2 linked regions of the Coturnix japonica genome follow. The main gene of each other region encodes a partner of the protein of the gene in region 2 in a complex. Links are inferred from orthologs where the notes say so. Each region holds a gene or a part of one and is shown on either strand. Other genes may lie near its edges.

What was found.
Region 1: the proteins of CRYBG1 (region 2) and PPP2R5C are in contact, whole or in part, in a crystal structure (PDB 6VRO), measured with the Homo sapiens proteins. The link is inferred for Coturnix japonica from reciprocal best matches to the Homo sapiens genes CRYBG1 and PPP2R5C. Residues at the interface, in NP_001358171.1 of Homo sapiens: Pro1136, Phe1138, Ala1139, Met1140, Pro1141, Pro1142, Ile1143, His1144, Glu1145, Asp1146, His1147, Glu1149; in NP_002710.2 of Homo sapiens: Lys183, Thr184, His187, Tyr190, Gly191, Leu194, Arg197, Ala198, Arg201, Glu226, Ile227, Ser230, Ile231, Asn233, Gly234, Phe235, Ala236, Lys240, Glu242, His243, Pro265, Gln266, Tyr269.

Annotation. Positions count from the first base shown.
Region 1 is NC_029520.1:44,954,961-44,970,196, reverse strand, and holds part of PPP2R5C (serine/threonine-protein phosphatase 2A 56 kDa regulatory subunit gamma isoform), read right to left. Parts: intron 14,036-15,236; coding exon 13,836-14,035; intron 10,210-13,835; coding exon 10,099-10,209; intron 9,497-10,098; coding exon 9,404-9,496; intron 9,307-9,403; coding exon 9,176-9,306; intron 7,976-9,175; coding exon 7,916-7,975; intron 6,958-7,915; coding exon 6,849-6,957; intron 6,702-6,848; coding exon 6,648-6,701; intron 4,685-6,647; coding exon 4,514-4,684; intron 4,041-4,513; coding exon 3,913-4,040; intron 2,368-3,912; coding exon 2,266-2,367; intron 294-2,265; coding exon 221-293; intron 1-220.
Region 2 is NC_029518.1:61,973,058-61,988,293, forward strand, and holds part of CRYBG1 (beta/gamma crystallin domain-containing protein 1), read right to left. Parts: intron 8,397-15,236; coding exon 6,928-8,396; intron 1,924-6,927; coding exon 1,873-1,923; intron 1,470-1,872; coding exon 11-1,469; intron 1-10. UniProt on the Homo sapiens protein: May function as suppressor of malignant melanoma. It may exert its effects through interactions with the cytoskeleton.

The sequences.
Region 1 (15,236 bases), on a different chromosome or scaffold from region 2:
ATAGTATTTCTCAGAAACCTTTTTTTTTTTTTCTTATTAAATAACTACTTGCACAAGAGAAAGGTTACAAATTTTAAAGTACTTTTATTGCATATCTTTCATAATACAATTAATGAAATTGTTTTATTTCCACGATCAGTCAGACCTGTTTCCCCCACTGATATTTAACAAAACTGAAGCATTAGAACATGAGCATCTTATGTTAATCTTTTCTAAATACCTGGGGATTTGATTTGGCTAGATTTTCTATTTTAACCCATGCTTCTTCCCGTTCCTTCAATTTTAGCTTCTCTCTGAAAAAAAAATTTCAAAGCAAAAAATGGCAAAAGCAGCTTGGTGAATCCTGTATCACAACCTGTGTATTCTCCTTAACATTAAAAGAAAAATCACTAGAAGAATAAATTGTCTGGCAATACCCATTTCAGCTTACCACCCAAAAAATCCACTTCATGTTGGTGCTACAATTTGCATTGTATCAATACCTCATGATCCCAAAGCAACATTAAAAAGAAAAAACCAAACCCAACCCTCCCATGTTAGCAACCAGCTAACATGAGCTAGTCTCTGCTAACTGTACAATGCTAGAAGGATTATAACTCAAAGGGAAAAAATAATTGAACTATGTTATATGGAGTCCTACTGTCATCTCGGTGGCTTGGGTTATAGTTTAAACAAGAGAAAAAAACCCAGAGATATTTTAAACTGTACACAAATAGACACATTTATAAAACAAAACCCAGAAAGAATCAAAAAGCACAATAAATCATTCAATGCAGTCACAAGAAACAACACTTCAGAAGTAAGGTTTCTTTCTGTATACTTGATGTTTTTCAAATTTAAGTAACTGGTTTACCCTACTCTAATAAATTGCTTCATGCACAGACTAGAACAAACTCTTTGAAAGGCGGCAGAGCTGAAAAAGGGTTTTTAAGATCAACAGTGCTTAAAAGAAATACTTTCGGGCTTTACGGGGTAGCTAATCCTGGCTTAAAACCCAGAAATTATAATTCAAGCCTACACACAACTTGCCTGCAGCTCTTCACTAAGTTAAGCTTGAGAGAGGAGTAGAATTCACACTCCATCTAAATTTACTCTATTGTGGTAAAGAATTCTGTTTTGTTCTGATGTCACCCATAGCATTCTGCCTGCCTTAGTTCACTCTCAAAAGAAATGCCACAAAACAACCCCACCCAATAATAACAAACTCAAAACAAACAGAAGAAAAGGAGAAATGATTGATTTCTGATTTAATAAAAGGACTACTACTCATTTGCTATAAGGGAAAACAGATTTACACAGCCTTTGTTCTTTTAAAAAATATTCACATTTTTGTCCATATTAAAAAAAAAAAAAAGTAATACTACAAGTTCATCACTTCTACTTGAATTATAATAAGCAGCCCCAAAATTTAAGATTATTTATGTTAGAAATCTATATTCCTTTCAGAATATCGTTTTAATATGGGTTCAGAATTAGAAACATTATCTGGGGGAATTCTTAATCACATAGGAATTAAAAATCAAATTCAAATCCAGATATTTTTAATACCTGCTTCTTAATCATGCTCCCAGTTTGTAAAGTAAGCCCCAAATGATTCACACATTTGATTTCTATTTCCAATCTGTTAAATCATTTTGAGATCCAGAGGAACAGCAGGTTTATGAGATGTAAATTTACGAGTACAAAATATAGCTTCATTTTTGGGCATTTACCAGAAAAATTCTAGCTTCTAATTGCCTGCCCTGTGCAGGATGACATTACAGTCATCACAATTCTTCTGGCAAATAGCGCATTGTAACAGAGTAACAACTTTAGGTTGGATAATTTCTAGAAAAACCTGTACATGTTCATGTACAACGCAATGTCAAAAATACTGGAAAAATGTTTTGGGAAGGATCGAGTGATAACATGAGAAAATAACATTGTGTAAATACAGCATGCAAAAAATAAACACAGGATGTCAACTGAACTCTTCAGCAGATCATTTACAGCAGGCTCCATGATTAGCAGTGCCCTTTTCCAAAAACTAGCTTTAAGGAAGAAGGTGATATGCAGCAGTATTAGGCCAAAGACTATAGGAAGCACCCCATTCTGAAGATTTTACAGTTCACATGTAATGAAAAGTTTTACCAAGTTTATTTTGAGACTGTTGTACCGTAATTAAGTGGGTACAACTTCCCAGTAGAGACACGGCAGCTTTTCAGAGCTAAAGCACTCTGAACAAATTATTCAAGAACAGACAGACACACTGACACGAAAACTTACTTCAGTTTTTCTGCTTTAAATTGCTGTGTGCAGTCATCGAACAGTTTTTGGTTCATCTCCATGAAGAGTTTCAGAGCATTGTATATCAAGCCATGTATTGTCCTATAAGTAAAACTTCTGGTTGAAACTCAGAGTACTTTAAACTTTGAAATCTATTTTTTCTGGTCAACAGAAGCCAATAGCCTACATAACTGGAAAATTACACCATTTCAGAACAAATGGAAACAATGCTAGTTAATGGAAGGTTCAGTTTATCCTCCAAAGTTCTAACACAATATTAAAGTTAACATTTTACTTACTCTATAGTACTACTTGTCATGTATACTTTTCATGAACTTCATTTTTTAGTACTGTGGATACCAAGAGGCCTAGGTTTGAAGTGCACTTGCTGACCTTAACCAGACTCAAGTTGTTAAAGAAAATGCAAGACAGTGTTACAGTTTTTGAAATAAGAAACCTACTGGCAACAGAGTGATTATAAGGAGCCTAGAGAAGATGGTATTCAGATTGGGAACTGCCACACAGCAACAGCACTTAGTTTAATACAATTATGCCAGGCCTCTTTAGACAAGTGTTAGAAAAGTGATGTGGAAAACAACGACAAAAATTTTCCTTATGAAGCACTTATTTTTACAGAGCATTTTACAATTTCTAGTGAGTAATCTAGTGTTGATCATTAAAAGCAAACAGCACGCAATCAGTTAAGTGACTACTTTGTAACACAAGTGAGTTGCCAGTGAAAGCGCAGTTGTATTGGGTAGCACCACTTCTGCTCAGAACAAAATGAACACATGGCCTTGAAAGCCAGAAAAATCATATGGATTACTCTATGCAGTTGTATCACTGAACCAAAATTTCACTTCTTAATACATTATTTGTTACTGCTTACATCGAGCGATACTTATCAATCACTAACATCACTTTATCTGCCTTTCTTTTCCTGTATTTAGAGGTAGATTCAGTATGTGCTCTCAGCTAACTCATTGCCAGACCGCAGTTCATGGCCAGCACTAGACTGTGGATACTTTCATCATCCCAGCAGTTGTGCCATAGCAGAAACAAAGAGGCCCTTTACAATGGAACAGCTGCAGAAAGAAGCTGACCAGGACTGTCCTCATGTGTAAGTACTATGTTATTGCAGGGGGAAAAAAGTGAAAACAGTCTATGGAGAAAGAAAACAGTAAACAAAGGGGGGGAAAAAAAAAAAACCAAGAAAAGGAAAGGAAACAAAATGACCCAATCTAAAACATATTCCACTAGAATTCAGATTAAATGCAAATGAGCAAAGAGGCTAGAGATTGAAAAATCAAGTTTCTCTTCAGAAGTACCCAGATTAGAGATTAATGACAAATTATTCTCACGTTAATAAAAATGCCATGGATTACACATACTAAAATATAGTTATTTGTTTAATGGAAGAAAGACTCCATTCTCTTCATTTCTTGCTTACAATTTTTGCTTATATTGGTTATAATGTTCATAATTAACATTGTGATAACAGTAATCTTCTCTTTACTCTGCAACCCTGATGACATTGAATAAAGAGCTAAACACATTTAATACTATTCAAAGAGAGGATTCTGAGCTATTTTCAGGCTAAACTAGAAAAAAAAAAAGCAAAATTTTGTTTGTACAAATGTTTCTTACTTGTTCCAATGTGTCTTTGAATTCCGGTATAAGGATGGAAACATGATGGGTAAAATCTTTGCTGCATTATCACTAATTAAACTCATAATATACTCATTATTCCAGTAGTACAATGCGCGCTCTGCAACCTAAGATGACACAGGAAAAAGGAACACTTCATCAAACAATCTCTTAAAAAGCAAGTATTTGGCAAAAACAAGTGACACGTAAGAAAAACTGCAAACAAGATTTGGATTTTTAAAGCATGAACTAGAAGCTACTCATGGAACTAATGGAGAGAGGAAAACTGCTTTTTCCTCAACAAGGAAATGATTCAAACCATTCAAGCAGTCCAAGAAATGCTCTCCCCTGTAAGTCTATCAGTAGAACTCAATTTCAAGAAGTGAAATACAAGCGCTAAAGGGTAATATTTTTAAGTGAATCATCTAAGATAAACTCTAGTACTGCACTCTTGAAAAGAGACAGTAAGGCTAACATTCGGACCCCCCAGTTTTGCCATAGATGCAAAGGCTTTCTTTAACAACTGAAGTTAAGCATGGTGAATAATAGCAAATTGCTTTTCAAAAATCCTCATTGCATTGTGCATTTTGTATGTACAGACCTGAAAGTGTGGACTGGACACACACTTGGCCAACTGTCTGAAAAGAGGCTCCATAACTTTCACAAATTCAGATGGCTCAATCACATCCAGGATCTCTTCCAGCTCATTTAAAAACATGACTTCTTTTGGACTGTGAGTCTTTGGCCAGTATTTCAGCAGTGCCATTACAACCTGTAGAAGCAAAAAGAACAAGATTCTCATAATCAAAAAGTCTTGTACTAACTTATCTCTCATTAACAAGTCTGAACAAGGCTGAACAGAAAAAAAGCCCTCAAATGTTTGTCCCACATAACAGCAATGATGAGATATGGTTCAGTGACACATAAATAACTGCTACTATGGCTACAGAACATTTTCTCAGAAGAAAGTTTTACATTAAATATCTGTTTAAAAATAATTAGAAAACTGAAGAAAGAACCTGACATACGTCTCAATATGATAACCAACTCAAAGGGCAGATTTGCAGCTACGTGATGGGGAAAAATATCTGCCACTTAAGTGACAATAGCTCAACCTCTTATTTCTTGAAGGTGTTCTTCAAGTCTCAAGTAATGAAGTTCAATCATATTTTAAGCAAAGACTTACCATAAATACTCAAACTGGCAGGTGACTGACTATTCCAGGTATACTGCTGTTAAATTTTATTTGACTGTATTACTGTAATTAGGCCTTAACTTGCTCCATGATTAAATTACTTACCCAGCTCATTTAAGTAGTTTTTTGCCTAGCAAATCATGAACCCTCAAACAAGTTGGGGAAGAGGAACAAAGAAAAACAATTAAGAGATCCATAAAATATGATATAGAAAAGGAAACAGTCTATTAGATGGCTCAACTTAAAAACAAAACTACATTCTTTTAAGAAGAAGCTTTTATATGGTTTTGATGCAGTTTAAACACTGAGAGGATGGCTACTGGATTGTTGCAAACACCAAACTTTCTCGTTTAGAAAAAAGGAACATGCTTATTTTCTGAAATAGATGGAATTCTTAAATAATAAATCTGGACTCTTATAAACTACAAGAAACATTCTACTTCAATGAAGTGATAACTCAGTGAGAAATCAATGTATGTTCCTTATACGTATCATATAAATGCCAATGTAGACACTCTGTCCTTAACAAAGCCTTGGGAAATATATGCAGATTTTATTTAATAAGATTTTTAAAAAATAAATCTCTTAACAATTTGCATATAAAAAAACCGTGTTTCTCAACCAGAATTTCTGAAGAGGAACCCAGCACATGCATCACACATTAAGAGATTAAAAGAACGATGTAAGCATTATGTACTGATTTGGGATTAAAAAAAAGGAAGTAAACTCAGATGATTGTTCAAATTTGTCCTAGCAAACATGTAGCACCATAACTGATGCCTGAAAGAAAGCTAACAACTCAAGACCGCACACAACGTGAATAACAGAGTGACCAGAATTTCATAACTAAAACATTAAAAGCTTCAAGCAGAAGAAAGTTCTTGCTCAGTCACACACTGCTTGATGAATCATGCTTACAATGGAAACAAGTTTAACTCAGTAAGGTGCACTTTTGTTAGAAGCAATCATTCACTAATCACTGCTTAGCAATTAAATGTGTTGGATTAGTGATGCAAAACACTATATTCAATTTTGGACAATCAAAAGTATTCATCTAGGTATGCAGCTATGTGCAGCCAGACAAAAGTCTGGTTTTGTTTATGTTCCAAAGTTAGTATCTGATTCAAAAGGAGAACAGGATCTGACTCAAAAGTCTTGCATCAGTATGTAGCTATGCGTGCCAAAAATCGGTGTGCCAGCGCAATATCAGCCTCACAACAGAGCACAGTTCAGGCACGTAAATATCTGACTGAACTGCTTTTGTGGATCAGCTGTCTTCAGGAGAGTCAGCCAGAACAAAATAAGCAGAGTAAACTCAATTTTGCTCCTAAAAGATATACCTTGAAAGGTTTATTAAATCATTTTCAACGTTGCAGAAAAATACATCCATTTGATATGTCAAAATGGTTAAACATTTGACTCTTCCTAATAAAAATAATTACATATCAATACTTCATTCTCCAAGCCTCCTTAAACAGTCCACTGATAAAAAAGGATGTTAGTATCCCCCAAATAAATAATAAATGCAAAATGAACTTACTGGTTCTGTAAGCGTGCTGTCTTTCTCTAAAAACTGAACTACACAGTACGCCAGCTAAAATCAAAGAAAAGATTTGATTAACACTTCTTGTGAGATGGAACACACTGAAATTGGTGAAGAAGTACTTCTAATTTTGGAGGCGGCCATCATAGCAGACCTCTGTACTTCTTGTTACTAAAAGAACTGCCAAGCAAATCTTACCTGTGGATGGTAAACACTGAGTGATTTCACCTTGTGAAGTGGTAACAAAACCTTCAATAAGAATATTTTGTGCTCCTCTTTTAATGGTAAGGCAAATCCATTAATTATGCTGTCGGGAGAAAAAAAAAACAAGCCCAAGTCTTTCAGAGGTCCTAAGTTAAGCAGATAAATGAAAACATACATGGATTGCTAAAACACTTTTAGACAACCCCCCTTGGCAATCACTGCAGAAATCTGATGCTGATGTTACAGGATTATAACAGACACATATTGTTGAGAAATTAGGAGTTGTTAGAGCTGCCTTTCCTGTTACTCATAAGGAGCTCTTTGTCAACTTCTTGTATGAAACTCCTTGATGGATCACAAAAATCAATACAGAACAGCTACAGCACAGAAGTTTAATTTGGCTACCAGAAATTTGATTAGAAAAATCTAAGAAAAAATATACTACAATTTTAACAGGCAAATTTCTATTAAGTGCCATAAAACTTATAACATTTATATAAAAACCCCTGTAAAATAAAACTGGCAATGCTTTTAAAACGTATTTCCACATACTTATATTAAAAAGCTTGCATCTCTGGATGAGAAGTCAACTGATAAAACAACCAGCTTTGAGTAGTCTAGCAGCTTCGTGTTGTACAACTTAGATTCCATGGCTGTCAGACACATCACTGAAGTTCACTTAAAGGAGATTAAAAGAAGGTTCTCCCACCCTTTCTGTGCTTACCTGCTATATATTTAGTGAAGTCAGATGAATTTTTAAACAAATTACAACTGTTACATGTAATTACTGCTGCACTGCAGCTTATCTTTAATACAAGGATACTAATGTAGAAAATGAAAATTAAATGATAAAAAAAAATTATCACATCCCAAAAATGTTGATGTGCAGTTGAAGTTTTTGCTCAGTTTCTGCACTCTTATACAAAACTTGAAGTTAAATCTCTCCAGATGCTAGGAAGCTATTTTCATCTTGTCCTGTAATCACTGGCAATCCCCAGCTGAATATCTAATGTCTCCTTTAAAGATCAAGACAGTTTAATTGGACAAAATCTACAACTTACCTTCCCAGTATTTCCAGTAATTCTGCTATGCCATTGTGATGTTCTGTTTCATAAATAAACCTAAAAAAATGAAAAGTTTCACTCAGTTTCTGGTGAACAGAGAAATACACCTACCACAGATGATCATCTAACATGGCAGGTAGCCTTGACCTCTCAGGTTTTAGTCACTCAGCAGAGAATAAACCTTGTGGAGTCCATGAAAACAGTTAAGCAGTCTTGGTAACTATTCTAAACCTAGTGGCACTTTGTGTTCTTGATGGCTCTGTTCTCTACAAGATATGCACGCTCTGTAAGCACATTAAGTTGCCTTCAACCTTCACGCTTGCTTTTTTCACTCACATTTAACAACAGTGCACGCATTTCAGCTTTTTTTAAACAATCATACATACTCTGTGTCATTTCAATAATGCAAAACACAGCAAACAATGCTTTTAATATTAAAATAACAGAACATCTGGCACAATCAAATGCCATGACTCAACCTTCTACAGCACATGCAAGCACAAAGTGTTCGAACAGTTACTACTTATGGAACTAAAAAGCTGTTTGGTATTAGGCTCCTGTGCACACAAAAGGCTCAATAATAAGCAGAAGTAATCACATCTTCATAAATTTTCTTCTGAAAGAACACTGTAATTTACTATACAATTATCTTTCTTATGGGCTTCTCAATTGCTTAAGCATAAACTTGTCAAGAAAGTTCTACGCACAACTTCAGGTATTTTGAAAATAATGTTTTTTTTCCCCACTTACTAGAAAGTATTATTAATTTCACTTAGTAGAAAATTATTTTCCATTTGCAAACTTCTCATAGACCAACACACTAACAAGCTGCTTTTAATTAACTGCTTTCACCAACCAAGAATGAAACATCTTAGGTCTGAGGAAAGAAAAGGCAGTAAATATGCTCCTTTAGTCAAATTCTCTGTCATTCCATTTGGGTTGCTATTTCTACATTACAAAGAACTACATTTTATTCAAGTGCTATTACAGCTATGACTACTACTACACAATAAGAAAAAAGTCTCAGATAAAAATATTAAACCACACATCAAATACATAATTCAAATATTGGCTGCCAAATTTATGCTGCGTGCAAGGCTACTTCAATTCAAATCTCTCAGGTTAGCATCAAGTTCCATTAGATGCAGTAGTATTAGGTACGAAGTTACTAAGAATTAAATATGATTCAAGATACTGTTAGCAGTCTTTAGCTGTTTATCTGACCAAAGGCCCCACAAGAAAAAGACAGTGACATACCTATAAAATATATTATTAATTTGTTTTCGGATGTAAGCTCTCAGGCCTAAGAATTTCCCATATATTCTGTGAAGAGTTGTTTTAAGAAAATCTCTTTCCCGGGGATCTTCACTGTCAAAGAGCTCTAAAAGCTGCAAGGAGGGAAAAGAAAAGATTTACTTTACTGAATCTAATGCACTGCAAGAGAACGTATATAGAACTTGAATTTAAAAGTTATTTTGACCTTACCTGTAATACAAACTTCTGATCAATATATTTCTTAGCTATATTAGGTTGGAAATCTGGAGATTCTAAAAACCTTAAGAAAAATTCATAAACAAGCTGAAAAAAAAGTCCAATGAAAAAATATCATTAGTCTTATAAACAAAACAAAACATTTTATGACCAGCATATTACCAAAATTCCCAATTAGTTGCCCAGAATTGTCGTTTGTATTTGTATAGAACTCATTTATTCACATAACATACAATAAAAGCTTTGCTCCCAATGCAGCATGTTTTTACTTAGTATAAGAAGCTGATGTTCTTTAAATTACATTGAAATTCTACTGAGCTCCACTGCACACGTGACATAATCTAATATTCAGCTTACCCAGAAGTGTTCTAAAAACTGTGTTCTATGTTTGTCACAGTACCTCTCAAAGCAAGAACTGAGTCAGATCAAAGTATTTAGTGTCAAACTGAAGCTCATCTAAAATCACAGCAGTTACATCCATACAACAAGAAACAGCAAACCTTCAGCCTCTAAAACACTGACATCCAGTGAAAAGATTATCAGTGTAAATTCAAGATTTATTTAAAATATTGTAGAGAGATTAGTTGATATAAGGAGACAGACAGAACCTGTATGATTTTGAATCAATAAAGAATGGATCTAATGTGAAAATTCTGTTAGATTATGACATCCCACACTTCATTGAGTACCTGCAGGTGAGGCCATGCAGCTTCTAAAGTTGGTTCATCTTCCTCTGGATCAAATTCTGCTCCAGTTGGATTGGAAGATGGTGGTAACGTTCGAAACATATTAACTGCAAACTGAAATCACACGGTCTTTTAAGAACTTTGAAGTGAATGATTAAAAAAAGAATTCAAAGATGATTTTGACTGAGAAGTCTTAACACAGCCTACTTAGTTAATATCTTCAGGCATATGCAAACTATATAACTCAGTAACTTAGAGAAAAATGAAGTACATTTAATTTTCTTTGAAGACTTTAAACTCAGAGAACACTTTTCCACGTAGTACTCTTTAAAGTACAAACTTATTGGCAAGGCATCTTTGTCTCATTGCGCACAAACACATATAAACACACTCATTTTAAACACTCAAGCAAATATTTATAAAAGGTTTAGACAAGTATATTTATATATACACCTGAAAAGAATTTGCAGCCTTCAAAAGCAGAAGTCAGAGCCAGAGACACAAAGCAAAGATTCCATGACATTGTTATGTAAATTATTACCAGTTTCATTTCACACCGCAGGCATATGGGATGTGGAAATACCTCAAAACCAAATTCTGACCTTCCTCTCCTAGTGGCACTTCCCTTAACCCACACCCATCTAACCGGGCAGCTCAGTATCCTCAAGAAAGCGGAGCAGACTACAAGGATTTCTCAAGGTGTGTGTGCACACAGATATACACCATTTTTGTGCTTCCAAGTGCTCGTCTAGATGCACACTTGTAACGTGTGAATCACAGCAGGGATCAGAAGACTGACAGTTACTTATCCTAACTTTTACTGAGCAAGTTGGAGGGAACAGGTTTCTGTGCATGCCAGTAAGAAAATCAGAAAGAGTCTTCATCTGTAAATATAAAGACAGCTACGGCTGTCAGTACTGGAAGAGACTCATTCCTCAGATCCACTTGTAATGCAGACTAAGAAGGGCAGTTGTAAGACACCTAAATTGATGAGTAAACAGAAAAACACAATCTATTTATCGGTCTATTAGTACGTGTATCCAAGAAAGTCTTTCTTATTCTATTTTATTGCTTGCTTACTTGGTATCAAACCAGCACCAGTCTCAACTAACTTCTGAATATACAGATCAACTCAAACTATGGTCCTAAACCACCTCTAGTGCTTCAGGCTGATCCTTTGATACAGATGCCTCAGTATTCTGAGCAGCCTGAACACACTGCAGGAATTGCCAAAATAAAAAGTTGTTTCTACCTTTTCACAACTACTGAGTGTATCAGGCTGCATTCAGAAACTCTTTAAGGCTATTCCTACTTAAAGCACTGCACAGCGCTCTGCTTTAAAACTCACAAATTAAATCACTTTGTTCATTATAGAAATACTAAGATATTTTAAAATAAACTTGGGTAGACACTTGTTCACAATGAGAATGTAAGCTATGCTGAAAGGAGGACTATGACATATCCACAAGATGATTTACCACATCAGCTGCAGCTGGCTGCATAGAACATGAGCACACGGCATACATACACTCCATTCTAAATGTGTACCACAAATATCAGAAAAGATTACTTATATACTGTTACTGATATTTGATGGTTGCAACACTTTGTGTTTATTTATATTCTAGTTACAAGTCTACCCAAGTATTACACTTAAATTCCACTCTTCACAGCATATTATCCGTCTGTAATCGTCAAATTTTCAGATGATAAGGGAGCCAAATGCACATCTTTATCCTCTTCTCAGTGTGTTATAAGGTGGTCTTCTTTAACTTTTCTTTTCTTTTTAAATAATATCAAAGTTTATTTAACCATCATTTGAAGACGATCCAGAAGTTCTGGCAAATCAAGCTAGATGTGTTTAAATATGTTGTTTTCCAGAGGAATCTACTCCACCTATCTGTGGTGGGACTCCGGGAAAAGCAGCAGGCAGGCATGCTTCCCTGTTCCCATTATGACTGCTAATCATTTATCAGCTCCATTCACAGTTTAGAATAATGCTGTAACATTATCTACTAACTGGTATATGTAAGCACTGTTCTGCCTTCTCACATCTGACAGATGGCAGAGCAGACAGTGGGAGGCAGTATCAAACTGCACAAGCTAAATCTGCAAGAATTACATCATATTCCCATGAAGGAAACATCATCTTCATGCTCTGTTTTCCTCAGAGTATTCCTTCACATCAGGGATGCAGGTCTGATTTTGACTATGGCTAGCATATTAATTGCTCTTTCAGAGAAAGAAAACTGATATTTATAAAGATATTCTAAAAGCATGGATATCAATCAACTAGCAACCTCCAACCTGCCTTTAAAAAAGGCAGAAACTTGCAATAGCCAACTGTCTTCCAAGAAAAACTAGGGATGATGAGACTTGGAACTCCCGTTTCCTCAGACAACTTGGAACTCCAGCTTCTTCTGTTAAACAGAAGAAAAATCACAAAAAAAGAGAAGGCAAGTGTGCTGCACTTTTACAGCTTCACAGTCGCTGTTTTTCTGGTGGCCCATTTTCTGCAATGCTACAGAAAAGTTTCAAGTGAGTAGGCATTACAGAGAGAACATGGCACACATTCTTCTCTTCACTTGGACTGCTCAGAAGAAGCGAAGCCTGACGTGAACGGCTCTGAATAACAAACTCTGTAATCTGACAGCCTGCATTCTCTGTATTTTAACAAAGCCACCCAAATAGCTAAGCAGAGCCACAAATATTACACTTTTACTCCCAGTAAAATCTCTCATTCCATGCTGAGTATCAAATTAAACAAAAAAAAACCCTACCCACATAACCAGAAATAACACTTAAATTCCCCATGCTTGTAACTGAGTATGTCACCTCATTTTCAGAATATGTGAAAAGTAGCAGTGAAAACTGCTTTAACTACTGAAATGATCTGTTTATAAAACACAAATTTATTTCCTATGTAATATCAATTTAAAAAAAAATAAAAATTCAATTTTAACCAATGGTGCTGGTGTCAAGCTTCCACAAGTGATCTGAATTCTCACCTTACAAAAAATATTCTCAAATTTTCAGTTTCTTTTAAAAACCAGTCACTTTTAACTTCCCCAGTTTTTATAAACATCTAATCCAAAATACATCTATGGGAAAAAAAGGTGAGGTTTCTAGAGGTGCACAGAGCTGGGAAGGGACAGAACCAGAACAATTGACCTAAGCTGGCCAAAGAGATACTCCTCATCATACAGTATCATGTGGAACTATAAAAACTGGGGGAAACCGGCTAGGGGGCAGTAGCTGCTTGGGTACTGGCTGGACATTAGTCAGCCAGTGGAGATCAATTGCACTGTACACATACACACTCTCTTATATTTGTGCACATGCACATACATATCATTACTACTATCTTCATTATCATCACCATTATTTTATCCTTCCTTTCTGTCCTATTAATCTCAGCCCCTGAGTTCTTCTCCCTCCTCCCCCCCAATCCTCTCCTTCTTACCACAGGGAGCAGGGAATGAACATACGGCTGCATAGTGCTGAGCTGCTGCCAGGTTAAACTACAACAGTACCCAAACTTCTACCATACAAAGAAGAGAATCCAATAATGGCAAAACAAGATTTAAAAAAACACAATTTATATTACCATTTTGCTGATGTACAGATGGCAGCTGATCTTCTTTGAGGATTTCAAAGTAAGGTTTTTTAAAACACATTGACAGAGCTGAAGAAAGAACAATGAATTCAACGCAATAATCAGACTGGTTCCCATCACTTACCATATGTACTACTTCAGGGTAAATAGGTTCTGTAATCACATTGCGATTATGTGTGATATATTCTACCATTTCACTTAAAGCTGCTCGCTTTACTTCCTTCCACTTTAGGTCACTTAGTGGATCAGAAACAAAGTCAAATAGTACACAACATTGTCGTAACTTCTGGATAAAAAGCTTTTCTTGATCAGCAGGAGGAACATCTGAAAAGTGAAAATAACAGGTTATAAGTTACATTGCAGCAGACTTCACACTACTCACTTTTATTTCCCTGAGACACACAGCCACTGTGGTCACTGTGAGCAAACTTCCTGAATTTTCAAACAAATTTCAGGAATACAGTGATCCAGAATATTAACTTCATAAAATACAGAACAGTATAGAATGAGTTCAAATTGCAAAGTGATGCACGCTTGCCTTTGCTAGAAACAGGTACTGCATGGAAAGAAAACCCACATACTTAGAAACAAAATGCCTTGGGGAATTTCCCAAAGAGCTCTATTTGTGTACAAAACATTACATTGCATCCACAGAAATACTCCTTGAGTATGAAGAAATACATTGCTGGATTTTCAGTTTCACCAACAGATGAAACCAATGAGTCACTTTTTCAACTTTTTCAAATTAGATGACAGCTTTGCTAACCTCAATGATTATACGATTGATCGCCGGTCTTCTAAGATCACAATCACCAAATGCAAGTCAGGAGCTGATACACATTATAGTCAAAAAATATTCAAGGAAATAACACTGTCAGCTCTCGCCAAGTTGAATATAAGATACATTAAAAAAAAGCCATTAAGTTTTAAATCAAATTGTGTAACCAGTCGCTTTGACAATTTATCATCATTCAGGTGCGGCTGGTAACAAAAATGTATTAACTAAAGGGGATAGTAACATTTCTATTCCTCGCCTTCCTTCCAAGACTCCAGTCCCTTTCTGCCCAACTTTTTTTCCTCCCCTTCTTTTCTGGAGTATCTATGACCAGTGAAGTCATAGCCCCATGTATTTATATTTCTGATATATTTCTGTTTTATTCTGCCTGTGCCTTACTGTTTGCCTGAGTAATTAAAACAATTGATGCACGACATTACAGTTCAGTACATATAGCAAAAGTTTTGGGGAATCTGGACATTAACTTTCAATAATTAAGGAAAACTTAAGAAACTGGTGAGATGTAAAGAAAACAGTACCATATTTTGACAGCAGCAAAAATCCACATTCAATTCAAATGGTCTAATAACGACAGCAGTAAATTTAAGACAGGAATCCTGCTTAAATTGGCAGCATTAATACATTTTATGTTTTTGCATGACAACTTCTTGTTTTTAATTATTGTTGGATATGAATTGCTGAGTCATAAATAGCATGACAAAAGGCAAAATAAAACTAGAGTGCCAACTT
Region 2 (15,236 bases):
CTTTTATTACCTCAGGTTTTTGAGGCAGGCTGAATGGCCCAGAAGCATCCTGTTGTAAAGAAGGTATCCCTGAGGAGTCTGCCATAAAAGCTGTGTTATTTACTGAGGTCACAGAAGGATTAAGAAACTTTTCTTTAGAAGTAGATGACAGCAAACTCGAGAAGAGTGAGCTTTTTTCCAGACGGGATCTCTTAACTTCACCATCTGTACCATCCGCGTTCTCTTTTCCATTTATTTCCTGAGTAAAGGAAGGTTCCTCTCTATTACATGACTGAAGGGCTTTGAATATTATACTTTGCTCTGTTGATGCACGTTTGGGCCTGACTCTGGCTATAGTTTCCAGACTTTGTATTTTCATTTGTTGGGTTGGTAACAGATCCTGTGCTTTTTCCCTTCTCAGTCCCAAACCGAAGGTAAATACACTAGGATCAAATACTTTCTCTAAGTTGTCTTCGTGAATCGGAGGCATTGCAAAGTGGGGTGCTGGAGACTTGGGAAGCTTTGACCTTTTCTTCTTCTGTGGTAAACAAACTGAGCTGTCCAAGTTTTTTATTGTTTCAGCAAACTTCTTCATGTCGGTTGGAGAATCAAAAACAGCATCGTCTTCAGCAGAGCCATTACAAGTTTTGCCTGGGCTCTCTGGAGTATTACTGCTGTGCTCCGACACCAATATACCATCAAGACTGCCATCATCATACTGCTGTGATGCAGAGGTCAAATCTCCCAGCTTTGCATTTTTATCACCATTTTCCACCTTCTGAGATTCTGGTCTACAAAGCTGATGAGACTGTAGAGGATATTTATCACCATTACAGGCTGATAAGACCTCTGTGTCTGGCGGTACCTTCTCTTCATTTCTATGGAGTTCTGAGCTTGTGTTATTTTGATGGTAGGAAATATCATGAACACTTTCACTTTTAACAGGCGAGTGCAAAGACGGTTTAAAAGGAGAACTTTCCTTTTTAACTGCACTTAATTCTGGATCAGGTTGCTTCAGAGAGGCACCACTGGCATCAATTTTGCTGCTTTGGTTAAAAAGGGATATTGCAGCTTTTACTTTAAGCTCTGTTCCTTTCCCGACGTCCTCGGAAGATGCAGAGCCTTCTTCATTTTTGCCTTTTAATTCTGCAGTGCTATCTTTCTCTGCTGTGCCATTCTCAAATAACTTCTGGCGACTGTTTTGTTTATTTAATGTTTTATCAGGCTGCTCACTTTCCTTAGGTTGTTTTCCAAATATCAGCTTTGCTCTACCAACAAACGTGCTTGGTACAGTACTATTTTTTGAAGCAGAGATATCAGTAGGCCTCTGGCTCTGATTGGCACATTTATTTTCAAACAAGGAAATTTTGTTGGCAATGCTGTTGTTAGTTTTATTAACTGGTTTTTCAAGAGTATCCTGCTCACTTTCTAAGCTGTCTTGATTTGCAGGCGCTTTAAAATTCAGCTCTACATTCTTCGGTTTGGCTGGACTATAGGAGGCAAAGTGATACACAGTTACATCTTTCAGTAATCTTGAAGAGACTTGTAACAGTTTGTAAAGCAATAAAATGCAGCATTAAAATCATTTTCCCATAGTCGTGATCAGTTTAAATTTCAGTATCTCAAAAGGAATTAAAGATGACAAAATAATCAAACACTGAATAAGGAAAATACATTTCAAATGTAAGCAATTCTTTAATGCTCAGCAAAACAAAGATGCAGAAACACAGCAGCCTACAGCATCTGCAAATGAGGCAAACTTATGACTGACAGAAATTAAAATTTAATAGAGAACAGGCAGAATAAATTATACGCATGCAATTCCCTGCAGAGTTTAGGAAACAAATCCCAATTCATTAAGGTGATAATGAGTTGGTTAACATTAGAATATACCTCTCCAACAAGTTTTGAAGACATCTGCCCAGATTCTTTTCAGTCTCTGTACTGCAGAAGCAATCACAAATCAAGTGAGAAACCTCTTCTGGATATTGCTGGTAGAAAATATCACAGTCCCTGACCCACTGCAACTGCTCATCACTGTTAGATTAAGCCAACACTGCATGGGAGGACTCTCCCATTTCCCTCAGGTAAAGTCAGCTAACATTTTAAATAGCATACACTAACTGCTGTTTTTACAAGGACTGAACTGGGAAATACTTTTAAAATTTTCTTTAAGAGAGTGGATAGAAAAGCACGTACTATGAGGCTACAGCACACATCACTTGAAGAAAGCTGGTGACACACAGCTGATAGTTTAAAATCTCCTTCATCTGAGTATCTACATCCAGAGAGAAGCATTTGTCCACGTCACCTGCTACTGCAGGTATATGAACAACTGAGAAGAAACAAGGCATGTCTTCAAAATGTATCAGCCAGAAGTAAGGAGCCCACCAGTACGTCAGAGTCAGACCCGCTCTCCACAGAGGAATCCAGAGGAATCCAGCAGTGACAGACTGCACAGAAACAAAATCTTAAAAGGGCGGGAGATTAAAGAAACTCGCTTGCAGGGGCTTCACATGCTCTATCAATAATTCTTGTACTCATTGGTTTTGCTCTTCACCTACACAGCTACTCACTGAGCTGTGACACAGCTCTTCAGTCAAGTGAAGAAGGGTGAGGTACAACCGAATTAACACAAATGTAAAAACTGAATCCATTCCTTCCCCCTCTTCCTCAAGAAACTCAGTCCATGTAAGAAAGTAAATGCTGCCAGAACATCTTCATTGTACAAGCTTTTCTTCTTGAGAAAAGCACAAGGAACAAACTTACTGTGGTAACACAAGGAACCCCAGATCAGCCGCCTAAGAAACTAAACAGAAAGTAACTGCTGAAATAACTGAGTATTTTAGGAGAAGACTTCCTGACAGTGCTCACTGCTTGCTCAAATTGCTCTCAGCTGGAAGGTTCTTATGAAGAACACAAGACAACTAAAAATAGCAAATAGTGAACTTACAAACACCTGACGGACTGTACCTCAAACAGAAGCTAAATAAAAAGTAATTGGAAAACTGAAGTCTGGAAGCAGGAAAAGAAAAATATTCTTGAGGCAAACAAGGTGAGGAACTATTAGATAATACATTTCAAGATACCTACACCCTAGTTTTCATTTGCAGTAACTTTGGAAAGTTAAGTTACTTCACATTCTTTCTTTCCTGGAAATGTAAACAAGTTGAAAGGGATCTCTGATGGTCACCTAGTCCATCTCAGCACTCAGCAGATGCAGCTTCAATGTTAGATCAAAGTCACTGAAGGTTCTGTCTGGCCAAGGGCTGAGCATCTCCAAGGATGGAAAATCTGCACTCTTACTAGCTAGGGAAGCACTGAAGAAAGTCAGCCACTTGCCCTATGAATTATTTTTATTTCATGTTCCATTTGAACTTAATTGTTGCAACTTGCAATCAGGCTGCTGTCCTTTCATTGAAAGATCAGAGGAGAAACTGCTCTGCCTTCTCTAATGCATCTATGGAGATAATGGTGAGATCTACTCATATCCTTCTCTCTGCTGAACAAAGCAAAGTGCTTCAGCTTCTACATGTACTTGGCATATCCCAGTGACATTCTTGTCTTAAAAGTACACTGAAAGACTCATTCCATCTTGTGAAATATCACTTGTGTTGGGGAAAGCAAGCTGAAAGGAGAGAAGGAGGTACCAGTCACCACAAAGGCCCAGCTTCTTCAAGAGCAAAAAACCCCTTCCTTCTCCTTTGACACACTGGCTGTTTCAAGCCAGTATTGCCCAGCATGGGCTTACCTGCCACCTGCTAGAAGGAAGCATTAGAGGAAGAAGATACACTTTCCTTCTACTTGTATTTTCAAGTGGTATCACTAGCACCTGGTAATCTTAACAGGCTCATTTCCATACCATCCTCCCGTCAGTCTGTCACTTGCACTACTACATGTGTTTCAACACAACAAACAATACATATCTCCCTAATAAGATCCTTCTTTCCTTGTAAGTCTTGACACAAGCAAGCGCAATGGTTAACACTGATAGTTATCAGCCACACCTAAAACTTATGACAATGAGCAACTAACACCTCAAAGGTATAGTTTCAAGCTTTGCAAATTTACACACAAACAACAGCTTTAGCAACCTGTATTTTACTCTGCAGCATTTTTGCAGAGCAGCAGACAAACAACAGATGCTAAAGAGTGACGAAAAGCTCAGCCTTGGAGCTCCGTCCACCACAACCCGTCACGTGCAGCCAAGCCTTTCATTTTGCCACTGAGGAATGCTGATGTTCCACACTGAGAAAGACTGATTTTAAATATAGCTGAAGGACGTGTCTCTTTGCAAGTACTGAATTTCTAAGCTTGTCTAAGAAACTGAGAAGCTGTCCGAGGACCCTTTCCCCCTGCAGCATGGGGGAAAAAAAAAACCACTGGAAGATGGATTCGTATAATGGTACAGACACTTCCTTATAAACAGCCTGATACAGTTGATCATTTCCACCCATTGCTGGCCAGGAACAGGCAAGCACAAGTGAAATACCAATGTCCTTCTCTTAGGCTATACCTTGCAGCTAACCTGTGTGAGCAAGCAGTTAAATCTCCTCTAATATAGTCATAAATTGAAGGTGACTCATATACTTGAAGCATACTGTTCAAATGTCCTCATCAAACACGTAACTGATGCCAAAACATCAGACTGAGGCAAGCAAAGTAAAATGGCATGTTAACAGAGCAGAAGAATTCAACAAGTGGGCATAGGCACACAAAGGCAGCTACAAAACCAAGTCTGAAAGTCAAAAATGACAACTAAAGCTAAGGCTGACGTGCTTAGCAAAATCCTAACAGCTGCCTGAGGTTTTATGTGCTGAATGAGTTTTGAGTGAGGTACCATCAACCTAAGTTTAGACTCAGGCCTAGTAAGTTCCTCTTTGAAAAGCTAAAGGCAAAAGTATCCCATGACTCTCAAGTTCCACTGTACACAGACATGCAAGGAGCAGACAGGAATTGCTATCGCTACTTGCTGAGAACTGGCAAAAACAGCTTCTTAAGGAGTATTTCTAAAGAACCTCAATCCTCAGAATTGGTACCACCACATCATTAGTAACAGACGTCATGCATTCTTTAATTGAAAATCGGTTTGATTATGCTAAATTGATTTTATAGGAGGGAAATGAATCTCTCCTTGTCCATCTTTATTCACATGAGTGAACCAGTACTTTTCAAACTGAAGGAGTTTCAGGTAGAGTATTTAATGGTAATTTTTCCCTTTAAAAAAATGGAGAAAGCATCCGATCCCTAGTCCCAAGCAGTAAGAAGAGAACAGAAACACGCCTTCTTCTAATACCACCATTATATTTTTCCTTTCCTGTTTTACAACTTAACTCACATCCAGGTTTACAGCTCACATGCCCTCAAGGATGACCACAAATTACAGCAGATAATCCCACTGTATCCATTTATCAGGCTGAAGAAATGGTGTGATTCTGTGCAACAGTATCTTTCAGAAGCATCATGAACCTGCTGAACGCAGCAGTCCCCACCCTGGGCTAAAGTTCTTGGAGCAGCAGATAAGGTCAAAACGCAAAGCAGCACACAGTCCACACTGCCAGGCGAGAAAAAACAGGCTTTTATCTATTAAAATGAAGGCTGTCAGAAGGGGTACTTGTCTATAACTGTAAGAGCAAAGCAGAAGATAATTCTCTATGCAAGGAGCCAAGCAGATACCAGGACAAACAAAAATCCAGCCATGCAAGTGCTTGTAACTTCATCATTGCTAATGGTAGTGACACATGGAGAAAAATATGCAGACTACTTGCATTCAAAGTTGTAAAGATACAAAACTTCAGTGCTGAACATTTGTGAGCTCTGTCACCAGATGACAAAGCAGCATCATGTAGCAAAACACCACAACTTAACTATCAGAATGAGGCGTTTTCAATCCAGTTAAAAAGGTACAAATCAGAGGTAGCATTTCACAAACTGCAAAGAAAATGTTCCTGTTATCTCTAAACTTTGCAGATGTGGGAAGCGTAACTGGAAGTATATATAGTTGTTAAGCTTCAATGCTTTCATGAACCTCTAGCATAAGTGAATGGCAATTCTGAACTCAGTGTACCTCAGGTGGACTCTGACACGGCCTACAAGTGAATGCACCACAAAGAGGAAAGCAATGCTGCCTATTACATACCCATGAAAACCAAACAATAGAAATGACGAGTACAATAAAATGATTCACGGAACAAAACCATGGGGGAGTCCAGGAAATCAGTAGCTGAAATCCTACTAATGATTACACTGCAAGTACCAAATATACCCACATCTTCCTAAGGAAAGCATAGATCACATCTGCCTGACAGAGAACAACTGCTTAAGAAGTAATCATGCAAACTAACACATGTATAATTCTGCAAACGCCTGATCTACATCCCATGTGTAAGAATTTACATCCTTTGTCCTGCAAGTACTTATAAAGGCAGCTAAATGCATTCAGATTTCTGGAGTCAGATTTATCGCATCATTTGAAGTACCAAGTTCTACAACCGCATCCTTCATTTCTTTGTAAAATAACTGCTGAGCAGAACTGCTCCTTCTTCAAAGAATAACCTGAACACCTTCCTTGGGCAGGGATTTTAGAGTACAAAATCTTCAAATGGATCTTTCAGTAGCTACAAACTGCAAAACCACTTGAAGGTCAATGAGAGCCAAGCTAATCTGAGCAACAAAAGGGGCAATGATGACAGCAGAGCAGCTTTTACACGTTAAATTATTCTATACAACATGACAGGCATAGAAAGAAACAGCCTAGACACAAATTATTCTCTTAACACATGCATATCACAGTGTTAGTGAGGTGTAAATATGATTAAAAGAAACAGCTCTTAATTGAAAATAATCTAGATAGCAGATATATAGCCAGCACTCCTATATAATCCTAAATACAGATGCTGGCAAAATTACAGCTACGAGAGTAAGGTAAACTGTAGTTATCTTACTTACAGGCTAATTTTTGTTGTGACTATTCTGGAAGCATCCAAACTCTTCAGCTTCAAGCTGTCTAAATCAGAACTCGTCTGTCTCTCAGCTGGCATACATAGGTCTCCATTTTTAATCTTATCAGTACGCAAGAAAGCTCTTCCATCAGAATCATTACCATGCTTGTCTGTCTTGGTTTCATTTCTGCCTTCAGCAAACACCACGGTGTTGTCTTCTGCTTTATCGGCCAATGAGACTTTGGAAGACTCCAAGCTATCTTCCCCTTTTTCCTGCAAAGTTCTTTTTGTCATTGTGTTACTCTCTGTTGACGCTAAAGGTTGCCTTTTGGAGGAGTAATCTTTCATCTGACTCTTCAAACCAGTGGGGGAAGTAGGAACAGCATCCAACTGATTCTTTTTATAAGATCTTCTCCTTGCAGGGGTTGTGGTTGAGGCTTGCTGTTTACCTTTGTCAGCTTCAGTCTTGGACGTGCCTTTGTGAGCAGATCCAGGTTTTAGTTCCGGATTATTTCCTGAAGAAAAGGAATTCCGTTCAGGAGTCTGCTGAGGAGACTTCAGTTTTCTTTCAGAGGTTATTACCTTGTCTGGAACCCCCTCAGAAGACGCATCGTCCTCAAAAACAGAATCTTCTCTTGCGGTATTCTCAGTCTGGTTTCTCTCTCCATTTGGAACGTCACTGGATGACTGAGACTTCCTCCTTTTCCCAGACCTTTTACTAGAAGATTTCTTATCCATTGTGTCTGAGTCACCACAATTTTCTTCCGATATAACAGTCACGGGTTCATTAAGGAGTTCGTCTGTTTTTCTAAGATAAATATCAACTGTTAGCACTCTAGCAGGCTGTGGGTGTTCACTTGCTAGAGTTTCCAGCTTGTATGGCAAATCCTTTGGCTTTGCATGCCCGGGCTCCTCAGACACCCACGTGTTCACCAGATGCTTGTGGCTTAAGATACTCTTTTCTAAGTCTTCGCTAGACAAACTCCTCAAGCTTTTTATAAAATCTGGAGTGGTGGAATTATTTATATCTGTGACAGACCCCTTCTCTGGTTCCCGGGTGTCCACATTCAAGCTACTCTCAAAGAAAGAGTTTTTAATTGTTTCACTGCTGCTGCTCCAGTCTGGTGACCACTCGCTGTCAGAGGAGACTCCTCGACCACTCCATTCTGAAATGGTGTCGTGGTACAGAGGTCCTACTTCCCCACTGAAACTGTACTCCTGTGTCTCAGGAACGACACTCGTATTTCTCACTTGCTTCTGTACTGGAGGAGATTCAGGACCTTGCTGTGTATGTTTACAGTAAATGGGCTGAGCTGTGTGAGGCGAAACCGATCTCTCTCCTTTCCAATGAGATGTGTGTTCTAATGAACTCTTGACATTCTTCCTTCTCCCCGTACCAAACAAATTTCCAAGTCTTTCCAAAACCGGTTTCTTTTTATGCTCTTCTCTGGAACAATCTGGAAATTGTGAGGAGGACTATGAAAACAAACAAAACATTTGGTTAAGGTCAAAAGTGTTTCTTTAATAAGCACGTCTATATTAATTCCATCTTGGATTTGAAAGGACACGATGAATGAGAAAACAAAACCAAAGTGAAAAACACATACCAAATGATACTAGTTCTAATAAAACAAACAAACAAAACTCAAAACACAATTAGAATCCCAAGACTCTCCTTATGTGTTTGCCTGTGTTTGTTTACAAGCACACTTAACTTGCCCTACAACACCAGCTTTGTATGTCCTAGATCTCAAAGTATTACACAATTAGTTAACACCACCTGAAGTAATAAAGCATTCTGGAGTCAGTAGGGCTGGGGGAAACGGGCTGCTTACTCAGAATCACAACACGGTGTTTGCCAAAAACACAGCGTGGAGTTGAACTGTCCATATTGGTTGACAGTTCAGAGGCTGCTTCTGGTAGAAAGGAGCGTAAGTTACACTTCATTTTTTACATTTTTCCTAACTAAGCCCTGTAACTATCTGCTCCAAACAACAGGAGCCACTGCAACATTCAACGAGCATTACCGGGTCAAACGCTGCCCTGCATCACTCCCCGTGAAGTTTTCCCTTACAACTTCTAATTAACATGGTAAACAGGAAACACGCAATAGCATTACCGAACACAGAAGCCTATTTGCATATTAACATATTAACACTTTTTGCATGCCGGCACGATGAATACGTGTTTGGAGCTGTGGATTTCTAAACAGCACCAACATTTCCTACTCCGTCCCTTCGCCCTTCCCGATGCTCTCCACGGTTTTCAGCGCTTCCTTTTGCCCGCAGACGCCGCTTCCCTCCCAGCGCCGCGCCCTGCTCACACCCGGGCACGGGACGGCTGCGGGTTGGATGCGGGTTGGATGCGGACATCGCTCCCGCTCCCGGCACGGCCGAGGCAGCGCGGCCGCCGCTCCCCGCCCCCGGGGACGCCCACGGGCACCCGAGCCCCCGAGTCCGGCACCGCTCTTCCACTGCCCGGGACGGGGCGAACGGCGGAAAGAAGTCGGACCTCACCCAACCCTGTGCCCCGGCCGCCCCGCAGCGCAGCGCGGCGCCTCCCCGCCCCGCCGAGCGAGGCCCCCCGCACTCACCGCCCGGCCCGGCTCGGCTCGGAGCTGCCCGGCACGCCGCTACCTCGGCGCCGGCCGTCTGGGCGCTCCGCCTCGGCCCGCCCCCGCAGCGCGCCCCGGCCCGCCCCGAGCCACCGCCTGTGCCGCGGGCAGCGGCTCTACCTGGCCGAGCGGCTCTACCTGGCCGGGCCGCCTCCGCCGGACGGCGAGGAGGGGACGGAGCGGCCGGACGGGAGCTGTTAGAGACGGCGGAGGACGAGCGGGTGCTCGTCCCGCAGGAGCTCGGGCGGTGCGGTGGCGGCCGCGACGTTATTGAGGGCAAAACGCAGCCGCGGGCAAAACCGACACGCTGCCGATGCTGAAGGACGAGTGCCAGGGGAGGCGGGCCGGGCTGCGCGCAGTCCCACCTGCGGAGAAGGGAGGCGAGGCGGCGCTGCCGTCCCGACACCCGCTGTCGTGGGCTCAGCCCGGGACCGCCTGGGGCAGCGCTGCGGGGCGCGGGGTGGTGGTTCGCCCCACGCCCGGGCGGCTCCCCCTCCTGCCTGCCCCGTCCCCGGCCGGGCCGGCGTGAGAATGACTCCGCTGCTTAATGGTGCCGGCGCTCTCCCCGGGCGCTCAATTAGTATTTAATGTTTAATGAATGCTAAACTAGTCCTCTTCTAATTAAAGCTTAATGACTTAAATGAAGTGGAACAGCTTCGTCAGGAAGGACCACCGCGTAAAGCTCTGCTCGGGACCGGCGCGGAGGCGGAGAGACACCAGGTCAACCCCTGCGGCCCGGCCCACGACGAGTCACCCTCCGGGGTAATGTAAGAGATGGGGCGTTTTTTTGCGCAGTAGGTGATTTATTTTTGCATAATCAGCAGAACAGCTGCTGGCTTCTGTTCTAAAACTCCTCCAAATATGAGGAGTTATAAAACACTGTCCTGGACGGCCCCACTGAGCCTGTCTGTTGCTGGTCTAACATTATGCAGCCCAATAAGTTTGCCCAAGCACCCCAAAACTTCAGAGGAAATTCATTTGTACTGTTGGCACATCACACCCCAACCAAACAAAAATCCCCCCATCCTTGCCTGCCTTTCTTCAGCATTTTGCTTATACAACCAGTAAGCAACTGAGCCACCACTGAAGTCCTGTCTCTGTGCGTGTAGTGACCTCACCAGCAGCTCTCAAACAGGCAAATTAGTGATCACGATCAGGACTCACCATCAGCTCAGATAGTTTAGGTGCTTTTGTGATAACAAAACCAGCCGTGAATTTCCCTATCGCATAAAATAATCTTGAGTAGCGTATCCCAATTACTATCTGTTATTATTATTATTATTCCACAAATGCATTGCCAGTACTAATTAACTAGAAGGAAGGTATAAGGACTGAACATTGTTATCTAAAAAGAGTAAAAATGAGAAATTTGCACAACCAATTAAAGCAGTGAGTCATCATGTCTCTGCAAATCCATAGTAATTGCAAGCCTGAGGAGGATGCACTGTATTAGTCATGTTAAAAACTGCTACAAGACCAAAACAGGGGAAATTTAACCTGATTATGGTTTCAATCTGCATATTACTATTCAGCTGAAAAATAATTGTCAGTCCTCTAAATAACCTGGGATTATATTATCAACCTGACGGCCATTATTACACTTGCAGTCAAGCTTTGGGTTTGCAAGATTACGCTTGGAAGAAAAAATTAGTTATTTGAACTGTGGATCTGGATTTCTCACTTCCCAGTGGTTGATTTTCATAAAGTCCATGGGAACTTAATTATCTTTGAGACGTCTCCCCCTTTCAAATGCAGTTTAAACTGTCCAACAAGTTCAAAAGGTGTTGAATGGAAAGGAGTAGGGGCAGCCAGCCAGTGCAGTCACATAAGCCTTGTTTCCTCAGGGAACAAGGCTGGATATTTTTGCTTGATCTTGAAATAGCTGCCCTATGTAAACTGTTTTGAAGTAATTTCTTCATACAAAGTACTTTAATTACATACAGCTCTTTCAAAACACATAAAAGGCCAGGCACTTGCCCTGAAGAGCTTGTATTTTAACTCAGATAAATGTAGATGAGCCAATATTGCCGGTGCAAGAGGGCAAAGAGACCAAGGTTCTCAGGATACAAATACACCGGGCCCAACTTGACGGAGAACAACAAATAAATACTTGATTTTCAGAGAGCAAAAAGTCTCCTTTCTCCTCTGAACAGGTTTCTTCAGCGTGTTTAACCTTAAGCATTCTCAGCATGGAGAAATGAGCCATTTCAGAAATCGCCCATCAAAGGCTATGGCAGAGTCAACTTTTAAGAAAGGGGAAAAAAAAGGAGAGCTTGTCTGTCCTTGGCCAGAATGCAGGAAGCTGTTTCAAGAAGACTGCAGCAGTCTTTCAAGTTGTGTTCTAATCTGAAAGCAGGATGCTTTCTTCTTAATCAAGAAATGTAAACCTTGTTTGTGTTTATATTCATACCTCTTTATGTTAGCATCAAAATATTTCCTCTGTTTTGTCTGTTTTGTTTTTCTGTGTGTTTTTTTTCCTTCTCAATAACGAACGTAAGATGCCACAGCCAAACCCCTAATTTAACCAAGTAATTAAACATGTGCTTTGCTGGTCTCCAGCGGAGAGTATGCATAAGCAACTGTGATTTGTTGAATCAGAGCTTCAGGCTCAGTCTTGAGGGATCAATGGGGTGTTATTTTGCTAGATTACTTCATCTGAGTCAGTTGAACATGACTGAGAACTCTTCTTAGGGCATACATTATAGAAAAAAGTAGTATCTTTACTAGTCATTAGCAAGTCTGTGGTAACTAATAGGTGGAAATATCTAATGTGGATAGCTCTCCTGCAATTTAAATGTGTTATTTGATAGCACATGTCAACATTCAGAGGAAACAAGAAACAAAAACCAAATATTTAGTGAAGTGTAAGTTTGGCTTTGTCATTCACTAGAAGAGCATAGATTTCAAGTAACATGCCAACTTTTGATACCCCTCTACTTTGAACCTTTCTGATACTATAGTTACCAGCCTTCTAAGTTAATACTGGAACACCAGGAATTTTGGATCTCTTCAAATTCATAGTATCATAATTCTTAAAACCATGAGAAACAGAAAGCCTGAGTTCTATTAGTCATATGGTATACCAAGAAGTGCATTAGCCAAGAGCATTTAAATAAACTACTACTCTTTGGACTGTACTGTTCTTCACAGTGATTGACTCAAATATTCAACATTAGCAGTGCTAGGCTTTGTTAGGATGAAAACTTTGCTGGAGTATTGCTGCCAAAATGTGCTGGAAAAGTAGTAGGACTAGAAGGAAAACTATACAAGGAAAAGCTAAGAGAAGAGCTTGAGCAGCATAAGAGCCACTCAGTATCCTGCTTCCAATGCTACTGAGGGAAGATCCCCCTGCATTCCCACTTCTCAGGTGAGTGCCCTATCTACTGGCAGAGGGAAAGAGGGAGTTGTAAACACAAATGAAAGCTTGCTGGTTTTCCTTGTGCTCATATTTAAAAAGCACGGGAAAAAAAATAACAAAACATTTAACCATTGGACCTGAAACAGTTTGGGGAATTTTGTGATTATGAGGGAGAAAAAAAGCAGTTATATTTCAAGTTAACCTAAGTGATTTCTGCTTTTACCTGTTAGCTTAATAACATCAGTAAACTGAATGTGAATCATTCCAGTTCACTAAAATAACTTTTCCTTGTTTATGCCGACCCTTCACGAAGCCACAAAAGAGGGGTTACTATTACAAATACTCTACCCCACACGCTGCTTTCCTCCAAGTAACAAAGGTTTGGCACGCACACGCTAAACATTTTTAGCATTTCTTTTAAATGCATCAGATTCCAGGTTGACAGTTTCCTCTTCAGACACAGAGAAATACGTTGTAAATATAACATGTTCATCCAAGCATGGAATTCACTCCCCCCGTCTTGCAACTCTTTGACTGGTACGCTTACGTAAGAATAACATCCATCTACTGCTGTTTCTAACAATTTCACTTCTACCTGAGCTCTTTATACAGGGAATGCAGTTACAGAGACCGGGGAGCTTATCTGAGTAACAAGGGAGCTATAAAAACAAGACTATGAAGCAGAATGAACTTAAATGAATAGAAGTTTGTACTGACAGTGGTCTGTTTCCACACACTACTTATGTATCCTATTTTCCGCTACAGATGTTCAAGAGAACAGGACCTGTCTGATTCCAATTTATTTGATCACTGTTAAACTAAGTCTGTAGCTCAAACATATACTGAAAATTGACCATTTTGCAACAGCATCTTGAATAACGCTAATATTGAGCGTACATGTTTAACTGACTTTTATTTTATTTTTGAAAGGAAATGATAAGCTCATAAACAGAGATACAGAATAATAGAATTACCCAGGTTGGAAAAGACCTTGAAGATCATCAGGTCCAACCACAGCCTAACCAGTACCCTAACTCTAAAAACCCTACACTAAATCATATCCCTGAGTACCACATCCAAACGGCTCTTAAACACAACCAGGGATGGCGATTCAACCACCTCCCTGGGGAGCCTATTCCAGTACCTAACTACCCTTTCTTTAAAGAAGTTCTTCCTAAAAAGAATAAGTGTAAATTCTGTATTATTTCTTAGATGCCAAAATAAGACATTTTTATATTGAGCATATAGTTATGTATGTATATACATAAGCAAACTAGCCTGAAAGCAGCAAATTGTGCTCAATCAAATAAAAAGAATTACTCAGCAAAAGCAAAAAAGCACAAGTACAATTTGAACAGATAATTAAATCATTATTTAGGAAAAGAGGTTGATAAAAAAGAACGGGCATGTCAGAAAAGACATGCCTGCTCCCATCTCCTCTTCCCCAGAGCTAGTTATTTCCATACACTGAGATCTTTACCCCCTCCCCTTCTGTCAGCATCTGTTATTTAAAGAGACACTCTATTAAACTAATGGTAATCAAATTGATATCACAATTAAAAACATCAGTTCTGTAGTAACCCAAAGATTTCTGCTGAAGTTTAAAGAAAAAAAGAAGTACCATTTGCCTTACCATGATGATGATAATTCTTTTTGCTGTTTACAGAAGAATAAACAAACTACGGTGTGCGTGAGGTGCAGTCCCGCTGTCATTAACCAAACCCTTTTTCTCAGCAATCCTCCCACGCTTTAACCCCTTCTTTCTTCTGTCAGCACTCAGTTAAAAAGAAGCAAAAAAAGGAAGTAGTGTCTGAAACAAGCCTTTCCAACTGATAAAGTCATTAGGCAGACAAATTATAGCTATGAAAGGGACTCAGTCAGAGGACAAGAGAAGAGCTGCAAAGGGTGGCAGCGAATCCCTCAGTAGGCACCACAAAAGAAGTGGAGAACCTGCTGTGAGGAGCGATGAAGTTAGTGTTGGGCAAAAAGCTTACATGCATTCATTAACATGCAATACCGGGACGTAGATATGCAACAGTAGGGAAAATATACCACACACGTTGGCTCTCACAAACTTGATTCAAGTTTTCTGATCCACGTTTAAGATGGCTAAAGAAGAAAACATCAATTGTGCCCTTATTCTGCAAGTGACTGACTTATACAGGTATGCGCGGTTCTTCACTTTCCTAAGGAGGTGTAGTAAATCTGCACTTTTCTAGGGTCTCAAGGACAAATGATACTAAGATGGATATCTAAAAAGCAGAGAACAAGCAGCACTAAAAGTACAAGCAGGGATCATTCAACATTAAAGAACTGAGAGAATATTTAAACTCTCCTGAACTTG